Linked DNA regions of Diceros bicornis minor. The protein of the gene in region 3 purifies or fractionates together with the protein of the main gene of each other region. This does not show direct contact. Links are inferred from orthologs where the notes say so. Each region holds a gene or a part of one and is shown on either strand. Other genes may lie near its edges.

The links.
Region 1: the proteins of SQSTM1 (region 3) and interferon-inducible protein AIM2-like purify together in Homo sapiens (affinity purification with western blotting; 3 studies listed by BioGRID and IntAct, with this or other methods). This does not show direct contact. The link is inferred for Diceros bicornis minor from reciprocal best matches to the Homo sapiens genes SQSTM1 and AIM2.
Region 2: the proteins of SQSTM1 (region 3) and RPTOR purify together in Homo sapiens (affinity purification with western blotting; 3 studies listed by BioGRID). This does not show direct contact. The link is inferred for Diceros bicornis minor from reciprocal best matches to the Homo sapiens genes SQSTM1 and RPTOR.

The regions. Positions count from the first base shown.
Region 1 is NC_080743.1:63,954,619-63,958,366, forward strand, and holds the start of interferon-inducible protein AIM2-like, read right to left. Parts: upstream 2,701-3,748; 5' UTR 1,396-2,700; intron 1-1,395. UniProt on the Homo sapiens protein: Sensor component of the AIM2 inflammasome, which mediates inflammasome activation in response to the presence of double-stranded DNA (dsDNA) in the cytosol, leading to subsequent pyroptosis.
Region 2 is NC_080757.1:60,046,924-60,050,671, forward strand, and holds the start of RPTOR (regulatory-associated protein of mTOR), read left to right. Parts: upstream 1-1,159; 5' UTR 1,160-1,170; coding exon 1,171-1,332; intron 1,333-3,748. UniProt on the Homo sapiens protein: Component of the mechanistic target of rapamycin complex 1 (mTORC1), an evolutionarily conserved central nutrient sensor that stimulates anabolic reactions and macromolecule biosynthesis to promote cellular biomass generation and growth.
Region 3 is NC_080740.1:92,813,233-92,816,980, reverse strand, and holds the start of SQSTM1 (sequestosome-1), read right to left. Parts: upstream 2,297-3,748; 5' UTR 2,262-2,296; coding exon 2,057-2,261; intron 1-2,056. UniProt on the Homo sapiens protein: Molecular adapter required for selective macroautophagy (aggrephagy) by acting as a bridge between polyubiquitinated proteins and autophagosomes.

The DNA.
Region 1 (3,748 bases), on a different chromosome or scaffold from region 3:
GCGGCACAGGTCTGGTTCCCAGACACGGACCTACACCACTCATCAGCAGCCATGCTATGGTGGCGACCCACATGCAAAATGGAGGAAGATTTGCACAGATGTTAGCTCAGGGCAAATCCTGCTCAAGCCAAAAAAAAAAGAGGAAGATTGGCAACAGATGTTAGCTCAGAGTGAATCTTCCTCAGCTTAAAAAAAAAAAAAAAAAAAAAAAAAACCGGTTATCCCATATCCAAGCCACAGTCAAATTTCCCAAAGCAAACAACAGATGTTTTTATTTTTTTTTTATTTCAGTTTATTTTTTTGCGAGGAAGATCAGCCCTAAGCTAACATCCATGCTAATCCTCCTTTTGCTGAGAAAGACTGGCTCTGAGCTAACATCTATTGCCAATCCTCCTCCTTTTTTTCCCCCAAAGCCCCAGCAGATAGTTCTATGTCATAGTTGCACATCCTTCTAGTTGCTGTATGTGCGACGCGGCCTCAGCGTGGCCAGAGAAGCAGTGCGTCAGTGCGCGCCAGGGATCCGAACCTGGGCCGCCAGTAGCGGAGCACGCGCACTTAACCACTAAGCCATGGGGCCAGCCCAACAGATGCTTTTATAGTTAAGTTAGTTCTTTCAAACTAGAATCTAATCATGGCTTATGCACTACCTTTGTTTTATATCTTTTGTTACTTTTAAACCAGAACAGCCACACACACACATACACACACACGCAATGCTTTGTTATCCCCATGACATCAGTATTTTGAAGAGTCTAAAATGATCACCTTATAAAATTACCACATTCCTGATGAGTTGTTTCTCCTAGTGGTATTTACCATGCTTCTATGTGTCCTGTATTCCCTATACACTGGAACTCTAGACTAGAAAAGTCTTGATTAAACACAGATGAAACATTTTAGGCAAGGGTATTTCAAAGGCAGTGCTGCTACTTCATATTGTATTACACCAGGAGGCACACATGTCAAGCTGTCCACTATCAGTGAGGCAGGGTTTGATGAGAACAGTTCTGTCTATTTTAAAGGTGCATTTAATCTTTTGCAAAGAGCAAGTAATCTGTCGGGTGATACTTAGGCCTCATCCAAATATTCTATTTCCTAACAAACAAACTTTCACCTAATGGTTTCAAAATTCATTGATAATTTTTGCGTGAATCAATTATTTCAGGATAAGCAAATAGTGATTTCTAGCAGTATCGCTCCTTCTATATTTATTAGCTGGCTATCTTCTGCAATATTCACAACAGTTAAAAGGCAAGATGGTAGTCATCTGGAATAGTCACCAATATTCTGGCTTTTTCTTCCTTCTGAGTACATGATGGAGTGTATTAGCTTTTGCTCCAGTTACAAACAATCTGAAATCTTAGCGGCTTATAACAACAAACATTTCTTGCTCACCGTTCTGTGATTTGTCTTGGCTCAGCAGTGGTTCCGCTGGGCTTTGCTCCAGGCTCTAGATCAGCGTCACACGTCTCTCAAACCAGGAGCCTGAACGAAGAACTAATGGATCCTGGGAGCCTGCCCTTCCATTGCTGTACGGTAGAGTGCAAAAGAGAAGGTGAAAACATGAGACTCCTTTTATAGCCTCTGCCTGGGAACAGGATGCTGTCACTTCCGCCCACATTGCATCAGCCAAAGCAAGTTACAAAATCAGGATGGCGGAAGACTCTGTTCCTGGGGCAGAGAACAAGAGAAAATTATTTCCTAAAACAACTACACAATCTGCCACAGCTGGATTGAACTTTCCATCCTCCTAAATTTGGACATGGCCATATAATTTGCTTGGGTCAGTGAAATATGAGCAGACACGTGGTGTATTTTCCAGCACCTCCTTTCCACTGCCACAGAGACCAGCGAAATTCTAAATTATTGAGTCACCATCACTTTGCATTCCTAAGTGAGGATAGCAAGTGAGTTAGAAGAACACCTGCTAACCCAAGACTGACAGGTAGTGAAAGTAAAAAAAAAACTCGCTCCGGCCGGCCACAGGGCTTAGCGGTTAAGTGCACGCGCTCTGCTACTGGTGGCCTGGGTTCAGATCCTTCCTTTTTGTGGCCGTTCCATCTTCAAGACTTGGTTTCCAGCATCGCCACTGGCATCAATATCCCGTGAGAAGACAAGAAAAAAGAGAGTGGAGAAAGTGTATTTGCTTGTTAACCACCTCGGCCTGTGCACACATCACATCCACTCACCTGCCCCATCCAGATACAAACCAGTCTGGAAAGATGGTTTCCTGGTGGGAAGCATGAATTTTTGGTGGAAAGTCATAATAGCTCCAGGAGGGTTTGTCAGAATCCTGTCGTGAGAATACTTGTTTAGGTAAAAAAGGCACTGGGAAGCAATTCAAGAAAAAAAGTCACAGGCTGCCATCTCTCAAAAACCCTAGCTCCAGGCAGAACAAATTGGCCTAGGTCACAATTGTGAAGCCATTTGCAGAAGACCTTTGCTCTCTTTCTTAATGTCTTGCTCCCCTCTGGAGTTCTATTGACAGGCATTTAGTGCTTTCATGGTGACTCCAAGCTCTTTGGACACCTCTAGTGGCAATTCTGCTCTGTTCTCCCAAGACATTACTAGGTGACCAGCTGATCAAGAGCTAAGATGGCCACAGCTGAATTGGGTCTTGTCTTTGATACATTTGCACTTTAATATTTCTGATTTTTATAACCTAGGGACTGTAGAAACATAGAATCTCATGGAATGATTTAATCATGTTACCACAGTCCAATTTAGGAGAAATTTGATAGGCAGCTCGTCCTTTAGAAATCCCTCAATCATAGCACACAAGCTTCCATGTACAAGTAAAGTCAACCCACTAATAAAATACTAATAAATAATAAGAAAATACCAAACTAATAATATCTCTGTCGTTACCATGGTTCTTAATACTTTACAAAGCCCTTTAATATCCATGTACAAATCAAATCAACAGTATTAAATAGGAAAAACATATTATCTCCACTTTACTAATGAGGAAACTGAGACTTAGATAAGCTAAGTGACTTTCCTGAAGTCACAAGGCTAGAAAGGAACAGACTAAAGACTAAAGCCAAGATAGTTTGACTCCTCGTTTAGTGCTCTTTCATAATTCTGGGAAAATGGGCCCTTTCCTGTGATGTCCAGTATTTCTAGGGCTTTTAGAAGTCTCTGTCTTCCAAATTATCTTCTAGTAAAAAAGTAGCCTGGTTTAACTGGTTTCCAACCCGGTCTTACATTTAAGATTTATTTCCTTATTTTCTCTTTGACACATGTATTAGCTCTCAGTTCATGTTCTGATTTTCCTTTTTCTCCATCTTGAATATTTTTGGATGGTCAATTATCTGAGGGAAGAAACGTTCATATTTTGATTAGAGTTACATCACTGATATCACTGCATTTATTTCTCAATCCATAGAAAGCTTTTGACAATTATTGCTTTGCTTCCCACTCACCCTTGCCAACTTGCACCCCAGGGCAGTGATTCATTCTTTCCCTCCTTTTTTTTTGAATCACGAAAGCTGATTGAACATGCAGTAAACCAAGAGCATGGCAACGTGACAGGAAAGCAAGTAAGGGCCTCTAACCTGACACATACAGTTAAAAGCAGACTGTAGTTAAAACCACAAGATGGGAGTTACTTCCTTCCCAAATGCCCACGCAAATCTGGTCTGTCACACAGCAGGGCTTGCGTGTATTTGCCAATAACAATACTTAGGAGAAAATATACCTCATTTACTCCATTTTCTCAGATTCTCTACTTTGTTCGAGATACTCT
Region 2 (3,748 bases), on a different chromosome or scaffold from region 3:
CTACGTGCAAAACAACCCACAACTCTATCTTTTTTTGTAATATTATCAATGATTCTTTCTGAAGCTTTTCCTGCCTTTTCAAAGTCTGGAAGAAACAAGAGGCTTGATTCCTTTAATTTCAGAAGCATGTAGGTCCATTTGTAATAATAAAAAGATTTTATCAAAATTAATTAAATGAATACAGTTTCATTTGTAGGATTGACTTTGATATTATGGATCTATTGAACGAATGGCGACAAACTCTGGAAAGCTAGATTGTGGCAGCCATGGTAACGGGGGACGGGGACTTCTCTCGCCGCATCCTGGGAAGCGCGGCCAGAACGCTCTGAGGAAGGTTGGCCTGTTAGCCACGCCGTAGATCGCGATGCATGCCGGGTCTTGGCAATATGGCGTCCTCCTTGATGTGCTGATGAGAGGAGTTTCACTGTAGCTTCAAACCAGAGGGCAAAACTCCCCAAACCCAGTAAGCCTACATTACTCGTTTTCTCCGCGGCTCCGGGTCGCTCGTTTCTCAGGACTCGTTCTCGGGCAGGAGGGAGCCACGGGGCCGAAGGCCAGGACCGGCGAGACCGCGCGGACCTGGGGCTGAGGAGCCGGCTGCGGGCGAGCACGATGGGCCGGTCCTGGCTCTGGTTGCAGCAGCTCCGGCGATTGCGGGACCCACAGGGCTGAGAGTGGCTGGAGGAGACCCGAGGCGCTCTGAACTTCTTCCCCTCGGCCGGAGACCTCAGCCCAGTCAGCGAACCGGCACCAAGAGCGGGCGGCCTGCCTGTCCTCGAATCGGCTGAGGCGTTGGAGGCCGAGAGCAGGGTCATCGTGAGGCCTGGAGTCTCACACGCCTTTGACAGCTCCGCTCGCAGCCCCTCCGGGGACGTACAGCCTCAGAAGCAGCCAGTGGCTTGGGATCTGGGGGCGTGTGTGTACGTGCGGAGCTCCTTGGGCTGCCCCATTTCCCTCCAGCTTTTCCCAGCCCCTCCGACTTCCCGCGCAGAGTTAAAGAGAAGGATCTCACACTTTTTGCCTGAATAAGGGTCTCCGCATACTCGCATTTCTTTTTCTACTCCCTCTTTTTCTGTTTCTTATTTCACCGATTCTGGTATACGCTAGTTTTTAAGGCTGGAGGTTCTCGAGCGCTTGCTGCCAAGGACTCCACCACCCCCTCCCCCCCTGATGGAGTCCGAGATGCTGCAGTCGCCTCTTCTGGGACTCGGGGAGGAAGATGAGGCCGACCTTACAGACTGGAACCTGCCTTTGGCTTTTATGAAAAAGAGGCACTGTGAGAAAATTGAAGGCTCCAAATCCTTAGCTCAGAGCTGGAGGATGAAGGATCGGGTAAGTGGATTCCAACTGCGCCCCTTGGAACCTGGTAGTCTTTTCACGGAAGAAAGTTCGGAGTTAGAAGAGTGTCCTTGGGAAAGCGGCGATATTTTTCCCAGCCACATGTTGCAAGTTAACTGAAAAGCACAAAAACCATTTCAGACTCCAGTTTTGGGTTGTAAATGGAAAAGCGTGTTTTGGTTAGTAGTTATTCACTGGATAGTGTTAATTCCGTTCAAACTTAGTTCTAATTCAGATAATAAAGGTTAAGTAAGTTCGAAAGTACCGCACTGCAAGTATTTACACGCTCTTTGATACACTTAGTGCTGTTAACACGTGGAGGAAAGACAACTTAAGATATAATACTTGTGTCCACGTGGTTAGTCTACTTTTGTGGTTAGTTTACTTTTTTTGTCCATGCTAGGTGAAGTGCAGAAGTCTAATATAGCATGCTAGGAAACGAGATTACTGACAAATGTTTAGCTAGTAACAAATTAATGCAAAGTTATTTTAAAGTTACAGTGAACTTTATCTAGCCTTCTAAACAATTTGTCTTGAATCCAGACTTTCCTCCTTTTATGTTGTGTTATGTTGCTATAACTTGGAGACAGAATTTCTCCAATCTCTCACTCCCGTAGTGGAGTGAGAGTATAATGGATTGGAATTTGAATCCAGCTTTTAGGAGGTCCCCATGGTGTTGGAGTGTGGACAGTGACTCACAAACAGCTAGTAGGAAGGAAAACAGCCAATTTTGTTGAATCTGCGCTTAATCAACCACCATCTATTTCCTGTTCTCCAAAAGAGCGGGGCTATCTCGTCTATGCACACTTATAATTTGTCTTTTTATGAATTATTTTCTCCTTCAAAACTGTCTTTATTTATTTGAACGTTTTAGTGGTATCAGAGGGGTAATTGGTGTTACAGTACAATGTGATTGCTCTGGGCTTATGAATATGTTTATGTAAGATTATTGTTTTTATTATATGATGTTGGACATATATAAGATTACTCTATGGTAATTCTAGTTAGTCACTAGTAACCAGTGCTTCAGTTAGTGATTTGGCTTACTTTTAAAAGGTTAGGAAAATTTGTTTCCTCCAAAAGTAGTTTAAGGAGTAAAAGAGGTGATCATTGGAAGAGAATGTATAAAGTCTGCCTTATGGACATCTTGAGTACAAATTATATAGTTCAAAACTTTTGTGGTTGCTATGCATATATGAAAAGAAATTTATTTTAAAGTAACCATCTAATTTTTTTTTCATTCTATTAGGAGGGCATTTTTTTTTTCTTTTGAAATGTGATTCCCTCTGCTACCCTAAACCCATGCTCAAACTGTCCAAAACTGATTAATGGATATATTTTTGACCTTTTAATTAAAGCATTAATTTGTTAATGATCAACATTCCCTGATAAGCTCTTCATAGGTTAAGAGAAAGAAAAGTTCTATGAGTCTGAGTAATTACTGAGATTACTACTTAGAAAAGAGCCAAGGGAGAAAGTTTGCTGTATATGACCTTTGCAAGTTGTTGAATAAAGAAGAGAATCAGCAGCTAATGTTTTTAGTTAAGTTTGTGAGAGCATGGCATCTTCACAGTCTTTGGAGACTCTTTCCCCTGGTTAGACCCTGGGGGTACCTTTTAGGTACACCCAACTAGGATGAAGGTTGCAAATTCCAGTGATGCTAAGAGTTGGAAGGTAGCCTAAATGAATGAAACAGGCAGGATATAAGAAGAATAATGGCATAGGTTCAAAACCGACATTTGATTCGTGTGTGATTTTCTGGAGGGTGTGAACAGCAGGGCTCTGACGAGCACATGCCGAAGCAGCTAAAGGGGCAGCTGGGCCTCGGCCAGATTTCTCTCCCTTTCTCTTGCTCTCTTTTTCTTTGAGAAGCCAGAAAACTTTTTTTTTTTTTTTTTAATGTGAAGTCTTTCAATTTTAAAATATTGGCACTAATTCAGATATTACAAACACAAAGTAGTCCAACACTGTAGGCCAAACAAACCCAGTTTGTGGGGTTGGTTCTGGCCAGTGGGTTACCCGTGTGTGACTTCTGCTGTAATATGGCAGCTCCAGGCAGCCGCTCTGACTCGAGGAATCCTGAGCACACAGGCTTTCAGGCCAGATTGTCTCCCTGTGCTGGAGGTGGCCTCCAGCAGTCTGATGGAGCAGCATCTTTGTAAAGCAACACGTGTGGGCCCAGTTGTCCTGTACTAGGACCTACACAGACCACTTTTCTTGGTGGGCTGTTGACTGCTCTTTTTTTTTTAAGAATTTTTTTTTTTTTAATTAATTTATTTTCCCCCGAAGCCCCGGTAGATAGTTGTATGTGATAGTTGCACATCCTTCTAGTTGCTGTATGTGGGATGCGGCCTCAGCATGGCTGGAGAAGCGGTGCGTCGGTGCGCGCCCAGGATCCGAACCCGGGCCG
Region 3 (3,748 bases):
GAAGCCCACCTGTCTGAGCCAGAGGGAAGCAGGCTGAAACCAGACTGCCCATTCACTCTGCCACTGCCTGGAAGGTAAGTACTTCAGCTGAGCCCTGGGCGCTTAGGAGGCAGAGTGTGTGCGTGCAGTGGCAGCAGCAGCCTGTCATCTGCCCCTTCAGAAGGTGCTGCCTCAGTCTACAGCCAGCAAGGCCCCAGCCCATCTTCCACTGTGGGAGGTCTCTGCCTGTGATCTGCTCTGGGGGGGCCCAGCTCCTCCAAAAGCCTTGGGCCTCTTGTGGTTTAGGAGAGTAAAGCAGATGAGCACATCTGCCTGCTGTCTCCCCCAGCAAAGCTAACGTTATGTATTGGTACGTAGTCTCCAACCTCTAGATGCTGGCTCAGAGGGCTGTAAAGCACCACATGCATCTGCAGGCTGGGCCAGGTCTGAGGGCCACCAGCCACAACATCCAACATAAGAACAGGGCAGTGGAGGGCCGGCCCTGTGGCATAGCAGTTAAGTGCACTCGCTCTGCTGCTGGCAGCCTGAGGTCAGATCCCGGGCGCAGACAGACGCACCACTTGTCAGGCCATGCTGTGGCGGCGTCCCACATAAAGTGGAGGAAGATGGGCACAGATATTAGCTCAGAGCCAGTCTTCCTCAGTAAAAAGAGGAGGATTGGCATGAATGTTAGCTCAGGGCTGATCTTCCTCACAAAAAACCAAAAAAAAACAGGGCAGTGTCAAAATGTAGAAACAACCCAAACATCCATCAGCTGAGAAATGGATAAACAAAACGTGGTCTGTCCATAAAATGGGGTATTATTCAGCCACAAAGAGACATAAAGTACTGACACACGCTACAACATAAGTGAACCCTGAAAACATGCTAATTGCAGAAACCAGTTAGGAAAAACTAAATATTGTATGATTATATAATGCATATAAATTATATTCCATTTATATATTTATATGAAACGTCCAGAATAGGAAAATCCATAGAGAAAAAGAGTAGATTTGTGGTTACTTGGCACTGGGGGGTGAGAGAATGGGAATGGGAAGAGAGCTAACAGTTCCTTTAAAAGTACAAGTTCCTTTAAAAAGTGATGAAAAGGTTCTGAAATTGCGATGACAGTTGCACAAATCTGTGAATATGCTAAAAATTGTACACTCTAAATGGGTGAATTGTATGGTATATAAATTATAGCTCAATAAAATCATTACCAAAACAAACCAGGAGCTGGCCTAGCCAGCTGGCAGCACTCCTGAGGGAGGTCCCAGCACTGCCCCTCCAGGGGCCGCCCTTGGCTGCCCGCCTCCCTCCCAGCCACAAAAACCTCCCAACCCCACCCCAGCAGCCACCAGTTACACCAGTACAGCAAGAAACTCAGCTCGTCCCTGGGCTTCTGTCTCTACACCAACACTTCTGAAATACATTTTGATCCTGTCCTTCTGACCGCTGCCAATGGAATAACGCCTGGACTTGGCCAGGTCTGGGCTTCTGTGATGTGTCCCTGACCTCCCCTCCCCGCCGGCCCGGGGCTCCTGGCCAGGCCGCACCGCCCCTGGTCCCCCCCACGCCCAGGCTTGTTTACTGACGTCAGTCCTCTCCCCGCCGCCCCTTCCTACGCGTCTGCCCAGTCCAGGCGCTTCCACGGCATTATCTGAACCCCCACCTGGCGCCGGCAGACCCAGACTCAGCGCAGAGCAAGACGTCTGTAACCTGAGTGCCCGCCTGACCACCCTGTGCCCGCCGCGAGCCGGCGAGGACGCCCCAGCGCGCCCTTGCCAACATCTGCGACATCATAGCTGGGGGAGGGACGGCAGGTCCCGCCCCGGGGCCTGAGATCCGCCCGGAGACCCCGGCAGCGCCTAGCTCGAAAGCGCAGCCTTGGTCATCACACCCGGTCACCAGGCTGGCACCCGAAGTCGAACTGGGGTCGCACGCCGGCCGCCGCCCACCCAGAAAGCCGCCACAGCAGACCCCTGCAGGCGCCACCAGGCCCGACGAGAAGAAGAAGCGGCCACCCGGCCCGCGGGCAGCCTGCGTCACGGCCCCGCGCCGCCGGCCGGCTCACCGCGGTAGTGCGCCTGGAAGCCGCTGGGCCGCAGCGCGGGGAACAGGGCGGCCACCCGGCTCAGCAGCCGCTCGCATGGCCCGGGGCCAGCCACGGCCTCAGCTTCTGCGTCAAGCTCAGGGCTGAAGCAGAAGCTGAAGCGGCGGATCTCGCGGGCCGCGTCCTCCTTGCCCAAAAGGTAAGCCTTCACCGTGAGCGACGCCATCACCAGGTGTCGAGGAGCAGGAGCGCAGCCGGCAGCGGCTATCGCGGGCGCGGCTTTTGTAGGGAGCGCGGGAAGCCCCGCCCCGCCCGGCCTCCTGGGAGCCGGGCCTGCGCGCTCCCGGCCCCGCCCCCCCCGCCCGGGCCGCCGCGCGCGAGCCGCCCTGCTGGGGCCCCGCGCCTGCCGCCCCCTCCGTCCCCGCCGCCTCATTGGTGACCACTGTCGTCACAGTCCCTAGTACAACAGGGACCCCGAAAGGCCGGCCCAAGGACTCCGACAGATGTCTGGACTCTGGTCTCTGCACCTGGGGCAAGGGACCCGCTGGGGTCCCCGCCCCAGACCCCTCCCAGGCTTGGATCTGACCATGACTCAGCAGAGCAGAACGCTGGCCGCCTGGGGATACCCAGCGCAGGAGGGAGGGGGGCGACAGAGGCCGGAAGCCAGAAGGTTCCTAGGTGCTCATCAGGCAGGGCCGGCCGGAATAAACTGGCTCCCGAGGTTCTGTCCCGACCGCAACTCTTGAGAACCCCGACCCCATCCATTCAAAGCAACCAGCTTCCCAGGTGGCAGCCCACTCCACCACCCCTAGCATCCTCCATGATGGCCTAGCCTGGTAACCTGGCCACAGCCCCTTACTGGTGGAGGGACATACCCCCAATTCAGGCCTGAGCACCAGAGGAGCTCCCAGTTGAATAGAGCACACTGTTGAGAGGTGCTGGAAGAGCTCAGAGTGCCCCCACCCCACCCGGGCTGGACCACCAGCTAAGGCTTCCCGGAGCCTCAGTGGTCAGAGTGTTCACTGCAGCCGGAGAGACTCCCTTTGGGCGCCTGGGTTCAGTTCAGCAGGCGATGTCCAAGGACCTGTGGAGTCTCAGGCCTACTGGGCTCACAGGCAGCCCAGGGGGCAAACCAACAGCTCCCCAGCTAGGAACCAGGAAACACCGCTTTATGTGATGAAAGTGACCTGTTCGCAAGGCTTGGGGAAAGGGGGTCGTTGGGGGGGATGGTCTGGAAAGGAGGTGAGTGGGAAGGGTATGTCACCCTATGAGGTCTCCCAGGTGGGGTCCTGTGAGTAGAAGTTCAGACCTGCTGAGTCAAAGTCATGTCCTTTCCATCATGGTGGGGTTTGTGAGAGCAGGTAAAACCTCAAGGGATGGGAAACCCAAAGACCACAGAAAGTTGAGTGGATTTGGCTAGTCAGGTACAAGGGTGACACGCCCATGGGAGCACAGCAAGGACTTGTTCATAGGTGTGGCTGGTCCTTCCCAGAGGGCTCCAGAGCCGGCCTTGGCACCCCTGCCCAAACTGCCCTGTAGAGAGGATGGTCCCGTCTCAGGCCCCTCCCTGCACCCCCGCTGTGAGCCTGGGAAAGTGACCCTCTGCCCACTGCCCTGCAGACAGGGTCAAAAGCCACAGAGGGGGCAGTGCTAGGCAGCGGGTGCAGCGGCCCACAGGCGCCCACGCCCGTGACTCAGCAGCCTGGGAGCCTC